Linked DNA regions of Nothobranchius furzeri. The protein of the gene in region 2 purifies or fractionates together with the protein of the main gene of each other region. This does not show direct contact. Links are inferred from orthologs where the notes say so. Each region holds a gene or a part of one and is shown on either strand. Other genes may lie near its edges.

What was found. Proteins that work in one complex are often made in the same cells at the same time.
Region 1: the proteins of nufip2 (region 2) and lsm12b purify together in Homo sapiens (affinity purification with mass spectrometry; 3 studies listed by BioGRID and IntAct, counting the BioPlex papers as one, with this or other methods). This does not show direct contact. The link is inferred for Nothobranchius furzeri from reciprocal best matches to the Homo sapiens genes NUFIP2 and LSM12.

What each region holds. Positions count from the first base shown.
Region 1 is NC_091756.1:47,419,656-47,430,602, forward strand, and holds the start of lsm12b (protein LSM12 homolog A), read right to left. Parts: upstream 6,787-10,947; 5' UTR 6,634-6,786; coding exon 6,507-6,633; intron 4,479-6,506; coding exon 4,345-4,478; intron 1,029-4,344; coding exon 919-1,028; intron 594-918; coding exon 467-593; intron 1-466. Other genes in the region: g6pc3 (glucose-6-phosphatase 3), read left to right, coding at 8,365-8,582, 9,457-9,563, 9,642-9,732, 9,836-9,954, 10,158-10,299, 10,375-10,717. UniProt on the Homo sapiens protein: Nicotinic acid adenine dinucleotide phosphate (NAADP) binding protein. Confers NAADP sensitivity to the two pore channel complex (TPCs) by acting as TPC accessory protein necessary for NAADP-evoked Ca(2+) release.
Region 2 is NC_091750.1:49,398,590-49,409,447, forward strand, and holds nufip2 (FMR1-interacting protein NUFIP2), read left to right. Parts: upstream 1-5,117; 5' UTR 5,118-5,213; coding exon 5,214-5,361; intron 5,362-5,568; exon of another isoform or gene 5,569-5,704; intron 5,705-6,117; exon of another isoform or gene 6,118-6,253; intron 6,254-6,657; coding exon 6,658-8,289; intron 8,290-8,655; coding exon 8,656-8,688; intron 8,689-8,854; coding exon 8,855-8,907; 3' UTR 8,908-9,404; downstream 9,405-10,858. Other genes in the region: glycine receptor subunit alpha-2, read left to right, coding at 831-913, 999-1,136, 1,214-1,428, 1,511-1,669, 1,964-2,059, 2,143-2,415. UniProt on the Homo sapiens protein: Binds RNA.

The sequences.
Region 1 (10,947 bases), on a different chromosome or scaffold from region 2:
AATTTTTTAAATTAAATTTAAACTATAATTTCCAGCTATTGACTGGAACCGGTGCTAACCACGTCGCAAACGTGGGATTAGCCATCCAGTTACCATTAAACTTGCACTTCCCCATGGCGCAATCTCCCACTAGCTTAACCAGCTAATGTGCTCATCTAAAAAAGCCCCCTTTCACAACCAACTGAATGCGTACGGCTCCGCTCACGCCAATATCATACACAAAAAATGCTGAACACTAACTAGAAATTTATGAAAATTTTATAGAATTAAAAGAATCTTGTTTATTGGGTCTTTGGTAATTTAAGACCTTTGGAAACTGTATTTAAGGATTATTTGTCATTTTTAAGGATTTTTAAGGCCTTAAATTTGGAAAAGCTAATTTAAGACGTTTTAAGACTTTAAGGACCCGCGGACACCCTGAAAACAGATGTTCGAAACAGCTTGTGTAGCGATGAAGAAAACTTACTATTTTGCGTACGTGACTTAAAGCGCTTCCCTCTTTGCCTCTGCAGTTCTCAACCTGGTAAGGCGGTGAGATAACGACATCGTCCATCACAATAATGTTCTTCTCCTGCCATTTACAGTCTTTGATGCTGCAAAGAGAAAGCAGCATGGCCTTATTTGGACTTGGATGATCTACAGTCACATTGTTTCTTATAAAACAGCTTTAAGTAAGACCTGACCTCTGATGTGGGGGTGAGTGTTGGAAAACCAGGACTTCAAAATAAAACTGTTTCACATCATTTAGAAAATAGACCAAATGGATTCAAAACAACCTTTTAGGTAAAACTTTTATGACAACAGTAAACTACGGGATTCACAAAGTGATGGAACACAAGTTTATATTAGAATGACTGAAGTGGACACATGACCCAGCTGATGTGAGTGGTCTGACCAAAGCCTGTGGGACGCTCTTACGTTTTGTGAATAGTCTGGAATAGCTGCTGGCCCTCCAGAGAAACCCCAGCACTGATTGCATAGGCTTGGGACAGCTTGTCTTCCTTTTCTGTCCGTGCTCGATTGGCAAGCTGTGGAAACATGAACAGAACAACAAAAACATTCTTCTTACATTGATTTTACTCGGACAGCCTTAAACCAGAAAAATGTTTTCAGCATTGACATAATTTATGTTTGGGATGCTTTTGTGTCGAGGACTCCAGGAGACACTGAACTCTGGACTGCAATTTGACTTTGACACCAGTTAACATTTACACATTACGTTAATTTACATCCGGTTAACCGGCAATTAACTGTTATGGGGCATCAATAACCGGTTAAAGAAACTTTGGAAAACGTGCATCCCTAAGCAGTACATATCGGCCATCGGTTGACCGTGTCTATCGGCATCGACAATAAAAATGTTTATTGAGCATAAAATGAAATGGAGACAGCATGTGTTTTACACTAAAGGAAAACTTTAAGATTATACAGGGAGTGCAGAATTATTAGGCAACTTCCTGTCCTTTGGCAAAATGGGTCAAAAGAAGGACTTGAAAGGCTCAGAAAAGTCAAAAATAGTGAGATACCTTGCAAAGGGATACAGCAGTCTTAAAACTGCAAAGCTTCTGAAGCGTGATCATCGAACAATCAAGTGTTTCATTCAAAATAGTCAACAGGGTCGCAAGAAGCGTGTGGAAAAACCAAGGTGCCAAATAACTGCCCATGAACTGAGAAAAGTCAAGCGTGCAGCTGCCAAGATGCCACTTGCCTCCAGTTTGGCCATATTTCAGAGCTGCAACATCACTGGAGTGCCCAAAAGCACAAGGTGTGCAATACTCAGAGACATGGCCAAGGTAAGAAAGGCTGAAAGACGACCACCACTGAACAAGACACACAAGCTGAAACTTCAAGACTGGGCCAAGAAATATCTCAAGACTGATTTTTCTAAGGTTTTATGGACTGATGAAATGAGAGTGAGTCTTGATGGGCCAGATGGATGGGCCCGGGGCTGGATTGGTAAAGGGCAGAGAGCTCCAGTCCGACTCAGACGCCAGCAAGGTGGAGGTGGAGTACTAGTTTGGGCTGGTATCATCAAAGATGAGCTTGTGGGGCCTTTTCAGGTTGAGGATGGAGTCGAGCTCAACTCCCAGTCCTACTGCCAGTTTCTGGAAGACACCTTCTTCAAGCAGTGGTACAGGAAGAAGTCTGCATCCTTCAAGAAAAACATGATTTTCATGCAGGACAATGCTCCATCACTCGCGTCCAAGTACTCCACAGCGTGGCTGGCAAGACAGGGTATAAAAGAAGAAAAACTACTGACATGGCCTCCTTGTTCACCTGATCTGAACCCCATTGAGAACCTGTGGTCCATCATCAAATGTGAGATTTACAAGGAGGGAAAACGGTACACCTCTCTGAACAGTGTCTGGGAGGCTGTGGTTGCTGCTGCACGCAATGTTGATGGTGAACAGATCAAAACACTGACAGAATCCATGGATGGCAGGCTTTTGAGTGTCCTTGCAAAGAAAGGTGGCTATATTGGTCGCTGATTTGTTTTTGTATTGTTTTGGAATGTCAGAAATGTATACTTGTGAATGTGGGGATGTTATATTGGTTTCACTAGTAAAAATTTATTGAAATGGGTATACATTTGTTTTTTGTTAAGTTGCCTAATAATTATACACAGTAATAGTCACCTGCACACACAGATATCCCCCTAAAATAGCTAAAACTAAAAACTACTTCCAAAAACATTCTGCTTTGATATTAATGAGCTTTTTGGGTTCATTGAGAACATGGTTGTTGTTCAATAATAAAATTATTCCTCAAAAATACAACTTGCTTAAAAATTCTGCACTCCCTGTAGCAGTACTGTACAAATCAAGACATATGTTGAATTATGCAGCTTTACATATCATTTATTGTTCACTCCTACCACCTTACATTTCATAGTGTGTAGAGAAGTCTGGGGACTGACTAATCAAACGTTAGTTAGTTCAATAGTTCTTACAAAAACGTGCAATGTGTATTATCAACAAGGCAGATTATTTGGCACATACACATCTGTTGTATTTAAAATCACGTTATGAAATTTTATGATTTAGTATAACATAAAATAATGCAAATAATGTATAAAACTAAATTAAAGTTACTTCCACAAAGCAATCAAGTTTTTTTTGTGTAGAAACTAAGTATGATTTTAGCGATATTAATAAATTTACTGTTCCTTTGGCAAAAAAAGAAGTCAAAAAGGAAATGTATATCTGTGGTGGGGGCTAAACTATAGAATGCCAGTGTAAATGTAAGAACTTGTGGTACATTTTTGTTGTTTAAAAGAATGGTTTTGAAGATCATTTTTGACGGTTTCAAGAGTTTATAAGTTGTGTTGTAAATGTAAGAGTATTGTGTGAACTTATTTGACTAAATGGTGTATATTTCTCTTATTCTTTTCTAATGTTGCTTAAATTGTAGATTTGTGTTAAAGGGGTAGATTCATTTGTTTAATTGGTTAAAAAGGACAGGCATAAATATAAGCATTTTTGCTTTGGCCTGAGCCTTTTTAGTCACGTTAAATGTAATGTAATGTTTTATTGAATATATTATGTTTTTTTTGACTGAATAAATTAAAATTCACATTAATTCAATTATAAAACAAATATCGGTCGACCTCTAGTCAGGACCCCTCTGTTGGTCCATAACCACACAGGAGGCCTTGAGATGATTTCCAATAAACAAAAACAACTGCTGAAGCTACATTTCTAGCGTAATTGTTAAAAAGACAACCAATTTGTCGAAAATGTATATAAGGGAATGGAGCTAAAGTGGTTTTCTTTTTGCCAATTTTATTTATTTTTAATCAGAGATGTCTGTAGGCTTTTGTACTTTATTAGTTTGAAGCTGAAAAGCTTGGGAACAGTTGCCGTAGAAAATCACCAAAGTGCACCGTAAGATCATTTAGGTATGTTGTCACAGCTACAGGAACATGCAGCATTCCCTTTGCTATAGGCTAACCAAAACGATATTATAATCGGACCAATATAATAAAGCATTTCAAGAGAATTGTTAGAAATTTTTGTGATACTGTTAAAATGAGGCACCTTTCAAAGGAAAATAAACACATTTATCTGTGTAGTGGTTTTCTGAGGTCACACATCTGCGCCAGTCGCACCTTACAAACCCAGACCTCACCTTTATGTTAATGAGGGGCAGGATATGTGCCACTTTGTCCATTTAAATGCACCACAAACGTACAAGAGCCACGCTGTACGGGCTTTTGAAGTTAGAATAAATAAGGATCTTAGAATCGATGGATCCTGTTTGTGACACATCACAGCTGAACGTTGAGTTCAAATGTATCACAACATTGTTCTAATGGCAAAAGCAGCAGAAATGAGACAAACTCACCTTGCCAACATTCAGAGATGCTAGTGGAGGTGGAGTCTCAGTCCGGTCATTTATTATGTCCACTTCAGATACATAGGCTAAGTTGATCAGGATGACGTCGTTGAGGTTTGACTTACCACTGGAGGAAGCGCATTCTTTAAAGACACAAGTTAAGGCAGAAAATTTCACGACACTGACTTGAAGAACAAAATTACTATTGTTATCTGACCCCGAGGAACTCGAACACCATCTGCATTCTGATAGGAGCTGTGGCTGATAACCAGACAGTGAAAGGTGGTGCCAGTTACAGCGTGTGACTGCTGAGGGCAGTGCTGCCACCTACAGCAGCAACACATGAATGAAGGAATAGGAATTAGACAGCCTGCACACAGCCACAAATGTCTTCTTTCTCAGATTAATATTTGATTAAACTTGCAGCGTGTTGAATCTGTTTTTCTGTTGGAATGTTTCCAACAAATCACTCATCTTAAAATCTAATTCCACTGATAAAATACTCATTTATTTATTCAAACTGAGGGTTTTAATCTAAATGCACATTTAAATCCTGATGCATTTCACCCTGGAATGAACGGCTGTATGGCAAGCCGAAGTATTTAGGGGATGCCGATAGAAGCAAACAAACACGAGAACATATTGAAAGTGGAAACAGAAAAGCATCGACAGTTTCAACACATGATCCTTTCTTTCACTTTGGTTAACAAGAGGCAAGATTGTCAGGAAGTTTCTAAAACAAGTCTCTTTTTGGGGTTTATTCCACGATATTTTTGGCACACTGACCCACAATAGAGAAAATCTGGACATTTGACATGAACACCAAAAACACAATTAGCTTTTAACATCATGTTTGTAGTTTCACTGTACTGAATTTGTCACAAAAATGCTGACAGATTCACTAAAACCATTTAAATGTCACTACCGGTCTAAATTATGAACATCCAAATGGGAACCTTTATGAGAAGTGTCAAAACATGTTTTAGTACATTTAGTACTTTATGATGAAATCAACAGATGGAACTGTATTGTATGTAAATATATTCACAAGTTACCTGGTGACGCTATAACCTGTGAAAATTACAGAAGGTCCAGTTTTGCCAGACCTCAGAGCAGAACTTGGGTCCATCTGTTCAAACATCCCCACTTCCAACAGATACTTAAAGATTTCAATCATCTTTTTATAGCTAGAAACATTTTGAAGCCTTTAATTTAGAAAAATCATACATCCAATTTTGCTTGGGGGAAATTATACATTAAATGAGTGACGTAGTTATGTTTTAGACACAGAACGCCCTCACTGTCAAACCCATTCATTCTTTTTTTAACCCTCTTGAGTCATATGCCAGTTCGGTCACGTAGACTGTCACTACACCAGAAGTTTAGCGTATTATTTTAATTTTAAATTAGCCTCTAATCAAATGACTACATTTTATCATACACCTATATCCTCCTCCCATGAAGGGATGGAAGCATGCTCACAGACAAGCTAAGGTTAGTTGTGATCAGCTCAGCATGCTAACCCAAATGAATCGTGATTAGCTGTAATTAATTTGTGTCACAAGAAAATAAAATCGTGATAAACTCGCAATAAAAACAGGCTAACACACCTTAGATGCGTACTAGCGTTAACATAGCTTCCGAGCAGAATATGGGTGGAATGGTTTGTACGAAAGTTAGCATGTTAGCCGAGCTAGCAGCCCTTCCCCTGTAGCTCCGATGGGTGTCGTAGAAAATAAAACGAACTCATTAAAGCGAGCGCTGGCATCTGTGGGTGAAGACTGTGTGAGATACACGTGCGGACACAAGTCAGAGCGAGATGCGCTGAATGTCAGTTAGCCTGCTAACTGTTGAGAGCACACAGCCATGATGCCAAATAGTGATCCATGTCGAGAGCTGCCAATACAATGAGTGGATTCAAAACACATGTACGTCCGAGCAGGCGCATTAAAACACCAAGAAAACGCAAATGATGACTTAATTTCACAAAAAAATGGACAACTACTTCGGAAAATGAAATAACTTAAAACGGACAAAGATGTGTAACTCAGCTCCCACCAATTACGCCTGCGCGGATCACTATTTGACATATTTTCGGTTACCCTACAGGCCTGTGCAGCCAGGCAGGCCAGCCAGCCATCCGTCCGCAGCGAGAAACAAACAAAGGATACTCAGGGTTAACATCTTGGACTGGTAATCAAAAGCGACCACTTCTCCTTGTAGCCGTTGGCCCAAGCAGGTGAGGCAGGAGACATGGCTCCCGACGCTGAAATACTCCCCCGGTCCAGGAGCCGCCATCTTCTCCGCCAGGAAACCGGAGCGCCTGCCTTACGTAAAGCAACGTGGTGGCGTAGGAAGACGAATCTGGGCGTGCCCTCGTACGCCGAGTTAAGGTCATTGACAAATATTACGCATACTTTACCTCAAATGTTCTTTGAATATATTACCCTTACCCCACACAGTACGTCAGGCGATTTACGGATCATACAGATTTAAAGAAAGAGGCGTTATTTAAAACAAAACACATCAGTCATTTAGAGCAAAGGTTTACAGCGAACACTGACTAATGCGTCACTTCCCTGATTTGACCATACCACAGCAGCAGTAAAACAACATCCTAAACACGCATCTAATTATGTCTGGTTTCAGGAATAATTCATAATGTATGTTAATTTGTTACAAAGTTTTGTTATGTAAATCATTTTTCTGGGACCTAGTATGTTAACTCCAACAAGTTCCCCCCCAGCTCCCTCCCTTATTAACTATTTTATTATGTGGAAAATACAAAAGGAATCAAAACTGTATCTACATATATTCTTTTTTGTAAATGTGCAAAAATGTACTAATTACTTTCAATAAAAAATGTGGATAAAAGGGAAAATGTGTTCATCAAACTGTTTTCAAATGTTGTTGGCGCTGATTAATTATTCTAAGGATAAGCACAGCTTTGTTCCTCATAGTTAAGTTTTACCTCAAACTAATATTTCTAGTAATAAGGAAACATTTGATGATGAATAATAATTAAAGGGCAAGTCGCCCCCTACCAGAGTCTTACTCTACTCCCTCTTCCTGTTGCTGTTGCCTGGCAGACCAAGAGGGCGGAGCCGCTAACAAATACACACAGACACCCAGGTTCACAACATCATTGTTGTTTTGCCTTCAGACTTCTCTGTCTCCTGGGGAATCTTGCTAAGCAATTCCCCCCAGGACAACAGGGTGGGGCTTGGAGTAGATCCGCTGCTCCTCCTCATCGAGGTGAAGTGGCTCAGACATCTTGTTAGGATGCCTCCTGGACACCTCCCTGGTGAGGGTTTCCAGGCATGTTCAACTTGATAACTGATTTCTTGTCTGTCCAGGGAATTCTTTGGGATTCCCCCAGAGGAACTGGCCCAATTGTGACCCAACCCTGGATCAGCGGAGGAAAATGGATGGATTAGGGTAAGGGTCTTGCTTTATTAAATGTTAATGAATCTTTCTATGTTCAAATTTTCACCTCAAATAAATGTGATTAGATCTTCCCAGAAAGATTCATATAAATATCCTATTGTTGTCAACCTATCTTGACATGAGGCCATCTTTTTATTACTTCAATTGTTCTATTATGATTTTTTATGCATAGTGTTATTTAAATACACAGTCAGGTTGTTTAATAAAATCCTTTCTTTTGTCTTAATAGGAGCCTCCGAATATGAAGAATTTAGTTGTAAAATCTTTAAATATTTCTTGAAATACCACATTCACTTCAGGTTTACATGAATGAATTATAAAATTTTCTGGTCTTAAATTTTTAAAATAACATATTTTATCTTCTATCTACTTAGAACTAATATTGGAACACTGAGTGACATATCTCGACGTAACGCTCGGTTCCACGAAAGAAAGAAACCCAACGTAAAACAGCTCCTCCTGCTGGAAATAAACTAGTAGTGCAACATTTTCAGCATCTCATCCTAGATTTCATCATCCGACAATTAGCTACATGTTTTGAGGTTCAACTGCTTTTAGATACTTTAGAGGGGGTTCGTTAAAATGGAGTCCGTCTACACACAGGGCATTTGGGTCGCTGAAACTCTCCAGCAACAGACAAAGAGTCTCGAACAATGTTGGCTCGTGATCACTCACTTAGGAGACCCTAAAGCAGCCTTCCTGCTCGTCTTTCCATTCACGTATTTTCTAGATAAACGCGCTGGAGTGGCGGTGCTCTGGATCGCAGCTATATCGGAGTGGTTAAACCTGGTGTTTAAATGGTAAGGCTTAAAAAATCAATTGTCGTGGAAAGTTTCAACACGTTAGCGCATGCTTGTGTTAGTGCTATATGTGAATCAATTATATTTGTCTCAATATATAATTTATCAGCTTCTATTTTGAAATTTTTGGGATTTGTTAGACGTTGCGGCATCAGGGACAACACTGCAGTCCTATTGTTTATGTTGTCCGTGGTGAAACCAGGAAAAGCGGAACGTTTTAACACACATCGAGCAAAATTACAATTATTTGCCGTTCTTTTCAGGCAAAATTGTGTGGCTCGAAAAACAAACATAAATAATTCAAAATAAATTGTGAAATTATAAAATAACAAATTAAGGCAGAAGAAACTCGTTTCTTATTGTTGTTATTCACAAAGCTTTAGAAACCAATTCTTCCACTAGATAACGTGTATACTATTTACTGCGGACTCACCTGACCTTCAGCAGGTAATATAGGCTCAGTAGATTTAAATCCCTGTGTGTGTGTGTGTGTGTGTGCGTGTGTGCGTGCGTGCCTGCGTGCCTGCGTGCATGTGTTCTGCATTTCTGGGTAACTAGAGCTACTCAAGTAAGAGTAGCGGTACGTAATAATGTTACTCATGAAAACGTATATATTGATAAACTTCTAGAAATAGTAATGTAAAAAGAAATTTACTCAAGCAAATGTAACTGAGTAATGTAACCAGTTCCTTTCAATCTTAGTCACAAACATTTATACGTATCTTCTGATAATAGATTTAAAATGAAATAAGAATTTAATATATTTTCACGCAGAGTTCTTTAGGTTTTGAACATTGTAAAATGGAATTAATTGTATTTTTGAACAAGATCAACAGACATATTTATAGTACTTTGTGTCCTTTTACTTTTCCAGGATGCTGTTTGGGGAAAGACCATTCTGGTGGATAGGTGAATCTCATTTATATGTCAGCATGCCACCCAGAATTCACCAGTTCCCATCCACCTGTGAAACCGGCCCAGGTGAGAGGTCCTTCAAGACAAACGAGACACATATGAGTCACAGATGGCACTCATGAAAAGTTGGCGTCTGTCTCTCAGGAAGTCCATCAGGACATGCAATGGTGACAGCAGCAGTCTGGTGGGTTGTTGCATCCTCGCTGGGGTCATTTCTGTACTCCCGTACTCGCAGGTAAATAAAGTAAAGCAAGTGTGTTGTTTTGGCTGTAAAACAGGCAGGAACTGTGGAATATTAGAGATGTTTTTAACAAGTATCCCTGGCCTGTTGCCTTCAGTGTGCTGATATCGTCTGCTCCCTTCCTGCTTTATGTGGCTCTGCTGGTTGCAGTTGGAACATCCAGGATCTTCATCCTTGCTCATTTTCCTCACCAGGTTATTGCTGGTTGCATTACAGGTCTGTGTGCATCGTCATCTTCATATAAGTGAGCACATAGATGGCTTTTGGCTGTGGTATTGTATTCCTTTCTGCCAAATAAACCCAAAAGCATTAACAGACACTTTGCAGATGTTGTTCTTTATAGTATGATTTCATTGAAGCTATTTGTGTCTGAGGAGTACAAAGTCAGTAATGTGTCTTTTACATCTGATTGCTGCCAGGGTTTATTTTGGGTATTGTCCTGAGTGGTAGAGTACCAGAAGGTCGCCCCCTGCTGTTCTACTTCAGCTTCAGCTTCAGCCTCCTGCTCAGTGCTCTGATGGTCAATGTGGGATTGCAGCAGATTGGAATTGACCTCTCTTGGTGAGTCTTGTTTTCTTTATAGTAATCTTCGTGCTTTAATGAGAGCTATCCCGCTGAACAGACTTTTTAAAACAGGTCTATTGCTTTGGCTAAGAAGTGGTGCAGTCACGCAGAGTGGATCCGTCTGGACACAGCCCCGTTCTCCTCTTTGACTCGAGACTGTGGGGCTCTTCTGGGTCTGGGTCTGGCTGAGTACTGGAAGCCTAATGGCTGGTCCCTCCCGTGGGCTCCAAGAGCTTTGTCGCTGGCTTTTTCATCCATGGGACTTTACCACGTGAACCGTCTGCCTCTGCCCGTCCAACCACAAGGCCTCTTCTACGGCTTGTTCTTCATCAAATTCGTTCTGGTTCCTCAGATTGTCATGGTGTTTGTTCCTGGTTTGGTTCACTTATTCACACGCAAAAAGAAACAAGACTAGAGGTGAACTTCTAAAAGTTTCTTTTCCTTAAAGATTTCATCTGGGATCCAGAAGATACTCTGGTGGGTTTTAGTGTTTTTCATGTCCCAGAGGTTTTGCTGGTTCAGTCTATGGCCTAATGTTTTATTTTTGTACAAAAAGCTTTAGCTTTTGGGATTTTCCTTTCACACTCTGCCAATTTGCAGATGATGTACAAATATTGTGATAAAAACTAAGCAGAACTTTTATTC
Region 2 (10,858 bases):
TTTCTGAAATGAAGGCTGTCCTAAAGTTTAAAGCTCAGACCTCAGCTTTGATGTTGCAGACTTGGTCCTGCTGGCCCATGGGTTTGTGAGCTCTCTGTGCCCTGAGTTCTGCCTGCAAGGCTTTCATTCCCACTTGAGACCACTGCAAATGTATTATTAAATGAGTAATCTACCTTTAAAACCACATGCACGTTATTGTTGTTTAATATAGGGAACTTTGTGGTGTTTAATGTACCATGAGAAAAGCCTCTGTTGTCTCAAACCTGCTTTCCCATGTAAATTAGAAATGCTGTAATGGCCATGGAGAAACAGTTTGCTCTGAGAAAGTTGGTTTAACATCCAACCCACTGTGACATTGCCTGTACCAACGTTAGTCATGATAATGCCAACTGCAGCCTGAGCTACTGCTAATGCTAACCTGAGCTACCTCTGATGCCCTTGCTGGATAAGAAGAAAATAACAAAGAAGAATGTTGGAGCCAGAGTTCTCAATGGTTGACCCGAACCTGGTTACGCAAAAGGACGGGGACAACCAGTCGGTCCATTTTGGGCATTATTATGGGATTGGCCAGCTCTGACTTCTTTTCCTAAAGTGACAGAGCTCTGAAACGGCTCATTCTGGAAGGCACTGAAACTGCCAAGAATAAACTAATGAAACTGCTTTATGTGAGAGAGGTTTTTGAGCAAAGAACTTCACAAACACATTTTATGTAGGTCATGGAGCCAATATGTTTGTTAAAACGTCGTAACAGGTCTACTTTAAATGTAACCTTTGACCCTGGATGAAAACACTCACATGAGGACACAATAACTGCTGTCTCTGTCCTTCAGGCTGACTCTCACTCTTTCTTGTCCGATGGACCTGAAGAACTTCCCCATGGACAGCCAGATGTGTACTATGCAGCTGGAGAGTTGTGAGTTCATCTTCTAAAGCCATAAGAAGGACACAAACTTTGTCAGTGAACATGCTGCTCTTTGTGCACCTTTATCCACCTCTAGTTGGATACACGATGAATGACCTCATCTTTGAGTGGCTGGATGTTGGAGCAGTGCAGGTGGCTGATGACCTGATGCTCCCGCAGTTTGTGCTGAAAGAGGAGAAAGGTCTTGGCTACTGCACCAAATACTACAACACAGGTATGTGACACGGAGCCGGACGATGTCCTAAACTCTGGGTTTGTCAGCATCTGCTGACACTGTCCTCCTGTCTTCAGGCAAATTCACCTGCATCGAGGTCAAATTCTACCTGGAGCGCCAAATGGGTTACTACCTGATCCAGATGTACATACCTAGCCTGCTCACCGTCATCCTGTCCTGGGTGTCCTTCTGGATCAACATGGACGCCGCTCCGGCCAGAGTGGGGTTAGGGATCACCACTGTGCTCACAATGACGACGCAGAGCTCAGGCTCAAGGGCCTCACTGCCGAAGGTCGGACTATTTATTTAACATTCTACAGAACTACCCTTACAGAGTTTACCCTCCTAAACACATTATTTTTCTGCTTCTGTAGGTGTCCTACGTCAAAGCCATAGACATCTGGATGGCAGTGTGTCTTCTTTTCGTGTTTGCGGCGCTGCTAGAGTATGCAGCTGTTAACTTTGTTTCACGGCAGCACAAGGAGTTCTTCCGACTGAGGAAGAAGCTCAAAGAGCAGCAAAGGCTGAGGACTGTGAGTACAAGCCACCCACTCAGGCCCTCGGGCAGCTGTCACCTGCTATTGCCTGCACCCAGCTATGCAGGAGCAACAGTTCAGCTGCATGCTGCGCTCCGACTGGGAAAGGCAGCCAGCAGTGGCCTGTGGTTAATGCAAGTCACCTCACTTCACTGTTGGTAAACGTTCTTGTGTCGGATATTAGAGAACAAAGGGGAGCAGAAGTGGGCTGAGTCTACCATCTAGGAAAAATTATTTCCTAAATAAAGCATCTGTTTATTATTAAAAGTTGTGTATTCTCTTCTCTATTAGCAGGGCAGCAGTGACAGTAAGGTGAAGGGAAATAACACGCCAGGGAATACTCCGTATCATGGGAGTGTGAGCCAGCGTTGCAGCGCCTGTGCCAGGGTGTGTGCCGTCTCGCCGTTCAACCAAACAGCAGGTGGTCAAACCCCAAACTGGGTCTCAGTAAGTCTGGTTGTGTTTTCCAGGAGGAGGAGCTGGCCCATCAGGGTTTTCTCTTCCAGAGCATTGGACTCGCTCTGTCAGCAGGAACTGCACCAGAGATGGATGCAACCCCGGTCTTTGCCGACTTACCTCCTGGTTTAGGTTTTTATGAAATCCGGCGACGCTTCGTGGAACGGGCAAAAAGGATCGACACCATCTCCAGAGCTCTTTTCCCCATGAGCTTCCTCATGTTTAATGTCCTCTACTGGCTCACCTACAAGGTTCTACGACACGAGGATGTCCAGCTCACACTGTGAAGACACCCCGAGGACGGCAGACACGACTTCTCTTCACTGAAACTGACAGACTGAACGTCCCTAGATAAGATGCATTTTGACTGCATGCAGGATGCCACTGCAAAAATCTGGCTTTTATGCAACTCTGATGGTTTGTTTTCCATTTTATTTCTGCCAGACGTGCACTTTTTAAAATTTACAGTGAGTCAGAAACGATCAAATCCTTATATTCCAACTGAAACAAACAGTTATTCTCCTAAATGTCATGGTTCCAAACACATCACTGAGACATAACAGATATCACTGAGCTGCACTTACTGCTGTGTTGTTGTCACACTTTTATTTACAGGCTTGACATTTCTACTGCATAACTCTAGGAGTGAATATATCTATATTTTTAAGACATTAATATTTTATCTTACAGAAATTATCCAAGAAAAATTAAATAATAAAGTCTGAAATAACAGTGGATCTTCAGAATGTCTTTTATTTTGAAAAGACAGTGAGCCCTGAAGTAGGTTGAAAAGCCAAAGGAAAGATGTTGATTGACTGCTGTCCTGATTCATCACAAGGAGGACGCTGCAGAGGCAGCTTGGACCCATATCACAGGTTCTGAGAGGTTCTGCTGAGGAACCAACGTCTCCTTAAGGCTATGGTGCCTGTCTGCTGCAACAGGTCCACTATCACGGTCCAAAAAGAATCAGTTGCACAACCATCTAGAGTAGGAGTCTGCAACATTTACAATCCAAAAAGCCGTTTTTCTCCTCAAACTTTGTTTAGAGCTAAAAAGGAGTTTAGAGCGTTAGTGGTGGTCAGAGGGGCCGACGGCGCCAAATGGCAGCCTCGCCTCTGTCAGACCTCCCCAGGGCGGCTGTGGCTACAAGTAGCTTACCATCACTAGCAGTGTGTGAATGTGAGAGTGTGTGAAAGCGTCTTTGGGGGTTTTGAAAAGCGCTATATAAGTTCAATGCATTATTATTATTATTATTATTATTATTATTATTATTATAACAGGAAGTGTGGGTGGAGTAAGACTGGTAGTAAGGTGACTGACTTCAAACTTGCATTTTTATTTTATCCACACATTATTTCTTTATCATTTCTTAGAGGCTGACTGCTTAGTAGTGCATTACATAATATGGTTAAAGCTGTAATACTTTGAATAATAGTTTATTAAAGCTTAATAATGCACTACGTAACTTAATAAATGGATCCTTATTGTAACGTTTTACCAAATTTACATTTCATTACAACCTAACTGCTGAAAATAAATAAAGGATACAAAAAAAAATCTAATTCCTTTTTTTGTGTGAAACTTAAAGTGCTAAACAAATTACTTCCCTAAAATTTGTTGATACATCTAAAACTAAGAAATGGATTAAAATAAATACGAATGCTTTAGTACTTTTAATGTTTTAATTTTCAGTCAGAATAAGCTGTTAGTCAGAAATATTAACATGCTTTTTAGGTGCTTTACACTAAATCCACACTTCCATGAATTCCTTTCTAATCTAAAATTTCACTAAAACTTTTTCTCTGAGTTAATAAAAATATCACAGCAGAAAATGCATCTTAAACCCCTCGATATCTGCCAGAACACCGTTTTTATTTTAAAGATACTGCATGTCTGTGCCCTGGAGAGAACCCTTTCACTAAAACCTGTCGTTTAAAAAATAAAACCTGCCTTTAAATGAAGCAGTCATATGAATATTTTATGTCAAAGTAGCAGTCACGTGCACATTTTAAAGGTGAAGTAGGGCTGCACATATCAGCAAAAAGTGTCAGGCTAAAACAGGCGTGGTCTATTTTACTATAGATACTTAACTTTCACAGTTTTCAGACATCAGTTGAGACATGTTGAAAAAAGAAAGAAATGGTAGAGCTAAATTATATACGTGTGGGTTTTATTCTGAGTCCAGAGACAATGGTGAAGTTAGGTGATTCATTTGTCCTTGTGTTTCCTTTCCTGCTCTAAAGCGAGATTAGAAAATTATATGTTTAGCCGCTAGAGGGAGTCACTGGCGCGACTATTTAATTATTACAACTACCACAAGACAACAAAAATATAATAATAATAATAATAATAATAATAATAATAATAATTATTATTATTATTATTATTATTTCATAATTACCGTTGAATAAATCAAAGCAATACATAAATAATATTGATATGCTGTCTATCAAATAATCAGTGTTTTTATTCCTTAAATGTGGCTCTGTGTGATTCCAGCCAGGTAAAGCATGTAAAAATAAAAATGTGCATGATTTTACAAACACGTCAATTTTTCTTATAATAAGCTGATCATATATGCATTAGGCAGCAGCAAGAAAATTTTGTATAACGCAAATAAATTAACTGCTTTTCCATTTTTGGAGGGGGCTGGTCTCTTGTGACCCTAATGTGTCAACTAGCTGGAGACGTGGCAGCGCCTCGGGTCATATGATTTAGGCTCTTCCACGAACCCCACCCCGTTATTTCACACTCCATATATATATATATATATATATATATATATATATATATATATATATATATATATATATATATATATATATATAATTTGAAATCACTCCCGTGTTATCCTAAACTTCTACGTGTGCGCACATTTTAAAGTCTTATGAAATACTCTTTAAGCACCTAGGAGTTGATTCTAAAGGTGGGTTTCAGAGGAGTGACCACCCAAAACAGGGCCATTTTTAGACATTTTACTGCTGACGTTTACAGAGGCTTCAAATAGCTTCCGTTTGACTCTGGTAGTGATTGGACTGAGAGCTAATAACACACAGGCGGAACGCGTCCGACATTCTTCACTTCAATGGAGGAACAGCCCAAAGATCGGGCACAAGACAGGCACTACCACCACCACGGGGAGGACAGGAACTCTACTCAACGCACAGCTTGTCTGAAAAATGATCAGAGCCACTTCCAGTGCCAGCATCAGGAAACGCAGACGAAGAAAACAGGTCGGGCCGCCCTGAAAAGTCGGCTAATGTCAATGAGCCGACTAGCATTCGCTAGCTAACGTAACTGGGAGCCAGCTAGCTCCTAGCTGCTGCCCCGAATAGTTTTGAGGACGGGCGGAGCAGCTGGTTAATCAGACAGATAGTCAGCCAGTGTCACACGAGAAACCACACATTATACTCGCTATCTGCTGACGTTGCGTGAGCGTTGTCGCTGCTGGTGGTTTGACAGATCGCAGATTGACCTTGTGCGCCGGTGCCGTGCCGAAAAAAAGAACCCTTTATTAATTTTTCTAATATAAATGTAGATACTTGTGTCCTCAGCGGTCCAGAAAAACACGAGGAGGTATGTCATTTGTAACTTTTACTCGGTGTATTGGTAAAAGAACATACCTTGGGATTAGCTTTCTGCGCTAAGAGTGCTAGTGATGGCAGGGGCGCTTTTTTTCGGCACAACACCGGTTTCACCGCCTAATTTTAAATGGCTTATGTAGCTGAATATGTTCTAAAACACCGCTTATGTCCCTCTGTATTCTAAACAAAACAACTCTTCTGTAACAGTGGCCTAAATTGTACTGATGTTATTCCAGTTAGCTCTGTGCAGTGTAGGAAACCGAGCCGGCTCCGCTGGAATGTTCTGTGCAGCCATTTCCGGTCGGCCATGTCAGAATATCACAGTTAGCTAACGCAACACTAACCGGCTAGTTAGGAAAATATGGACAACAACGACACGGTGGACGTTTTTTTACGCGTCATTGTCGACCGGTACTGTGGTGTTATCGTTGTCCGCTACTAGCTAGGCGATATTAGCAGACATTAGCCATTTGACAGGCCCTTTTGAATGTTGTCTGGAGAAGCCACGCAGCTGATCAGGCTCTGTCAGCATTAAGCGAACGTAAGCTGACAGTCGCTGTAAAATGTACATTTGCTAAATGAAACTAATTGTTTTGGCTGTGACAGGAATGTGAGGTGTGTTGTGCCAATAAATGTTACTGGGGTGGAGAAGCACTGTGGAGTAGGAAGTCCCACGTTGACACAGCACTTCCCACGAATCTGAGCCTTCAGAGGCCTAGTCATGATGCTTCACTGTAAATCTGTGCTTCCTGTATCCATCCACCTTTCCTATGCGGTGTGCCATTAATACATTGTGATAATTGTAGCATAATAAGTGTTTGGCTAATCTTAAAACATCACTTTCCAAGAAACTGCAAACCATAAACGTATAGTTGTTAGATTTTGTGGTGTCTGTAGAGTCCTATCATTTCCACATCGTCTTATTTTCTTTCCTTTTTTTTTTAGGCAATAAAAAATTAAACGTTGGCGACGAGGAAGGAGAGAGGAATCTACGTCTGTCTGATCCTGTTGGTATGTCGCTTCCTTCCCACGGCAATGGTAACAAACATGCGCACAACGCCAGTCTAAAGCAAAAAGGGGCGCAGAAGCTCTACACGCCTGCTCCAAAAGCGAGCAGCAAATTTCTGGACCGTAAGAAGAATATGGACTTTAAAAATGACAAGGAAAAGACTCTGGATTTGACTCACGATGACCTCCAGAGCTTGGATAAGAAAGACTCTGTTTTGCTTCACAACGGTGTCGTAAATTGTGGCTTCATTACAAATGGCTATTCTAGCAGGGACAATGATGGCAGCGGATCCGAAGGCGGGTACACCACTCCGAAGAAACGCAAGACCAGGTGTAACAATGCCAAGAACACTGATAATGTGACAAAAGAAAAAGAGAGAGACATGCAGCCCCGCAACACTACACAGGAGCTGGGGGCTTTGAATCCTGAGGCGACTGAGAAAGGCAGATCTACCCAGTCTGCTGCCAAACGAGCTGTCGTTCCCGAGACTACAGTGGGGGAATCTCAAAGGAAAAACTCCGATGGCAAAACAGCTGGCACCTTTGGTAAGAAAACAGAGGAACGGCACAAAGGCAAACTCTCCTCTCCTTCAAAGGAGGACCCGTGGACTTTGTTCAAGCCCCCTCCCGTATTTCCTGTGGACAATAGCAGTGCTAAAATCGTTCCTAAGATCAGTTATGCAAGTAAAGTAAAAGAGAACCTCAATAAAGTAGCTCAAAGTGGAGAAGTGGTTCCTCCTCCCATGAGACTGTCTCAAGTCCCGATGTCTGCTATGAAAACTATCACCTCAGCTAGCTTTACTAATGGTCCTGTTTCTGGAAATGGAAACGGCTGCCCGTCTGCTGGCACCTTCTTCGTTCCTGCTGCTAGTTGTATTCAATCAGCCCTGTCTGTCCCAAGTGGCGAGAATGTAGCATCTTCTCTGGAAAGTAACTGTAGCTCAACAAGTCCTGTAGATGGAGACGCTAACGAGCTTAAAAAGTGTACTCTGTTAATCTACCCTTTAAATATGCAACCTGTGCTCCCTAGTGCTCGTCACCTCGACCCACCGGCTGCTAAGACAAATCAGAAAGCCCTGGGAGACATCTTCCAGAATCAGTGGGGGCTCTCTTTCATCAACGAGCCCAACCTGGGGCTGGAGGGAGGAAACGGGCATCCTCCTGCTGAGGACCAGACTTCTGGGACTTCTCCAAGTGAGAGTCAGACTGTTGAAGACAAGGTGGTCCTGCCGTGTTTTGATGTTAGCCCAATATTTGTAGAGCCTGGAACTTTGTTCAAAGACTCTGAGAGAAGGACTTGTGCCCCTTGCCAAGCGTCAAACGCTCGTTCTCCTGCTTTTGAGGAGGAGACAAAGTTCCCGCCATTTGGCCAGGACAAAACGAAGTTTGAGATCAAAGGTTCTTCTGTCTCGGCTCTTTGTAAAGACAATGGTGCTAAGCCTGTTCAGGGCCAGCAGACCACTGTGCTGTTTGGCTCTTCTAAAGAAGTGGTCCACCCGAACGACGCTAGCAGGAGGTGTAGCTGGGGGCCCTCTGACATTAAAGCTGCTGTCGCCTATCACACTAAAGGTAACGGTGTCCGCTTCTATCTGTAAAACATATTGGTGACAATATGGCGTCCTGTGAATGGGTAATAACTGGTGTGTGTGCCAACTAAACTAACCCCAGTTTGCTGTTATTTTCCAAGCTTTCCTCGTGTGACAGCCGAGTGTGTTGGTTAGATTTCCTAGAAGTTGGTTTACAGCCCGAGTGACCTTTAAACTCCAACTTCAACTAGCAACGTTTTAAACTTAAGCATGACTTTATAACATGATGGTTTTTTTTTAAAATTGCATTTGAACATTTTGTCAACTTGCCAAGTTTTTAACTAGAGGAAACCAGAGAACACACCAGAGATGCTGAATTAACACATTTCCGTTTTTCTCCCTCAAACAGAAATGGAATCCATTTTTAACGTGCAAAAACAAGGTAAATAAACCGTTTTAAGTTTGACTTTAAAACTTGCTTTGTGTTTGGGTGCCCAGCATCACTAGTCATTGGTTTTAGTGGTTTTTGTTCAGTGACGCGGTCATGAATCCCACGTGACTGTGGGAGGGATGTGATGTTGACAAACCTTTCTTCTTCTTTGCTGCAGATCCAAAAAGAGTAGTGGTTTATGATGAGACCAAGGATGGACCTGATCAGTGAGGTAGATCTACAGTTTTCTACCTGGGCCGACGAAAACAACAAAAAAAAGTAAAAATCATGTTTGATGTGGCGACAACTGTGAAAACACTGACAGCTAAGCATGATTTCCTTTGGAATCTCGGGCGTACTCAAACTTTAATTTTTTGGTGGGCATCAAACCAACGGACACTCTGGATGGACGCTAAAGACGAGTCGATCGGTGCCTCTCCACTCTGACAAATGGACAAATGCAACTTCCTAGCTGTGGTGGTCCTTGTCTCATGGCTTTTAATGGGACAGTTTTCTGGGTTTGACAAAGGAAGGTGTCCTTGACCGCACCTCCGTAAGCCTTTATCCCGTTGAACTGTGGCGGCTTTGTGGCCCAGCTGCGGGACGCCTCGGTCATGTTCGTTCTTCATGCATTCAGATGAGTTCACTGTAGATATGTTAGTCGTTCCACCTCCGTGTGCAAGCTTGAATTCATGCTGAAGGAAAGATCTGTAAAAAAAAAAAAAAAACAGCCTTTATGTTGTGGAATAAAGGTGTCGGGAGTTCCGCTGAGACGGAAGCCTGTGAGGCTCCATGCAGGAAAAAGGAGAACTTTGTCTTAAAAATCCTTTACAGGAGAAACTACGCAGAGCCCAGAAGTTTTATATGTATTACCGCTCCTTTTTATGCTGTTTTCAACGGAACTAACCCGAATATAATTTGCTGTATGACCCGCCACCCCCACCCCACCCAGCTCAGATAGTGATGGGTTTAAAGGAAAGCTCCGCCCCTTTAACATCAGGTGTGCTTATGACACCACCAGGTCTCTGTTAAATTCAGAAGTTTTGAAACATTTCACACAGACGGTCGTCGGATATTCACAGGCTGTTGTCAAATTCCGGTTCTGGGTTTCGGAACGGCCCGGGACAAGAACCACTCACTTCTGAGCTGTTCTCCATTCTCTGCTTCTAATTCAGCTGCAACGCTCAGGATCTCTCAACACTTCATCTGGTCCGCATTCGTTTTCAGCTCTTGTTTATGGAAACCGTTTTTGTTTACAGGTGTAAATGAGTCACTGTTCATCACAACAGTAACACAACTATTGCAATATGAACCTCGGGTCCCCAGCTCGCCACTTTGTGTTGAAATGTGAAGACGGGTGGTGTCAAACCTTTTGCTGTGGATTAACCTGTTAGTGTGCAATAACATCATAAATGTGTTATGCGGAGCTACAAAACGTCCTGAGATGCTCGTGTAGCCTGCAGTTTAGTTTAGGTTATTATTTTTAGTGCATCCTCACTTTGTTGCACAGTTTCCTCGCTCCTTCCTCTTCTATTTGTCTCCAGGTCTCGTTAAATCTAGGGAATAACTTGGAGATCCCAAATTATCCCAACTGCCTCCCGGTTGGCGGCAACATTGTTTTAATCCTTAAGAGCGGATACGTATTTTTCAGCCTCTCCAAGAAACGGTCCTGAATTCTGTTCTGATCTGGCTAACGTGTGGATTACTGGCACTTTATGTAAACAGATGACCTTTATCTTAAATGCTATAGAAATCTATGAAAGAATGGCTCTGCGCTGTTACTTAAAACATAAAAACGTTGCTAAACACAGAATTACTAAACGAAACTCAGGTAGTGTCGATAAGCCATGGATATACTGATTATTGTGTTTTGCCAAACGGCCCCTGTCCTGTAACGGTCTCTTGTTGGAAACACGGAGTCGGAGACGCACGACGTTCGGAAAACGCACCAAAAAGAATCTTTGGATGAAAGTTTTTTTTTTGGCCTAAATAGTTTTCTTTTCTTTGAGAAAGCACAACATGTTTTCTGTATCTTTAACCGTGTTCTCGCCATCTTTGCTGGTTTCTTTTCGTGTGTGTGTGTGTGTGTGTGTTGGTTTTTCTTTCAGAGGGCTAACTTGGTTCTATCCCAGTTCGTACCCGCCTGTTCACAAAAGGTTGGAAGTGCAACAGCTTTTATTGA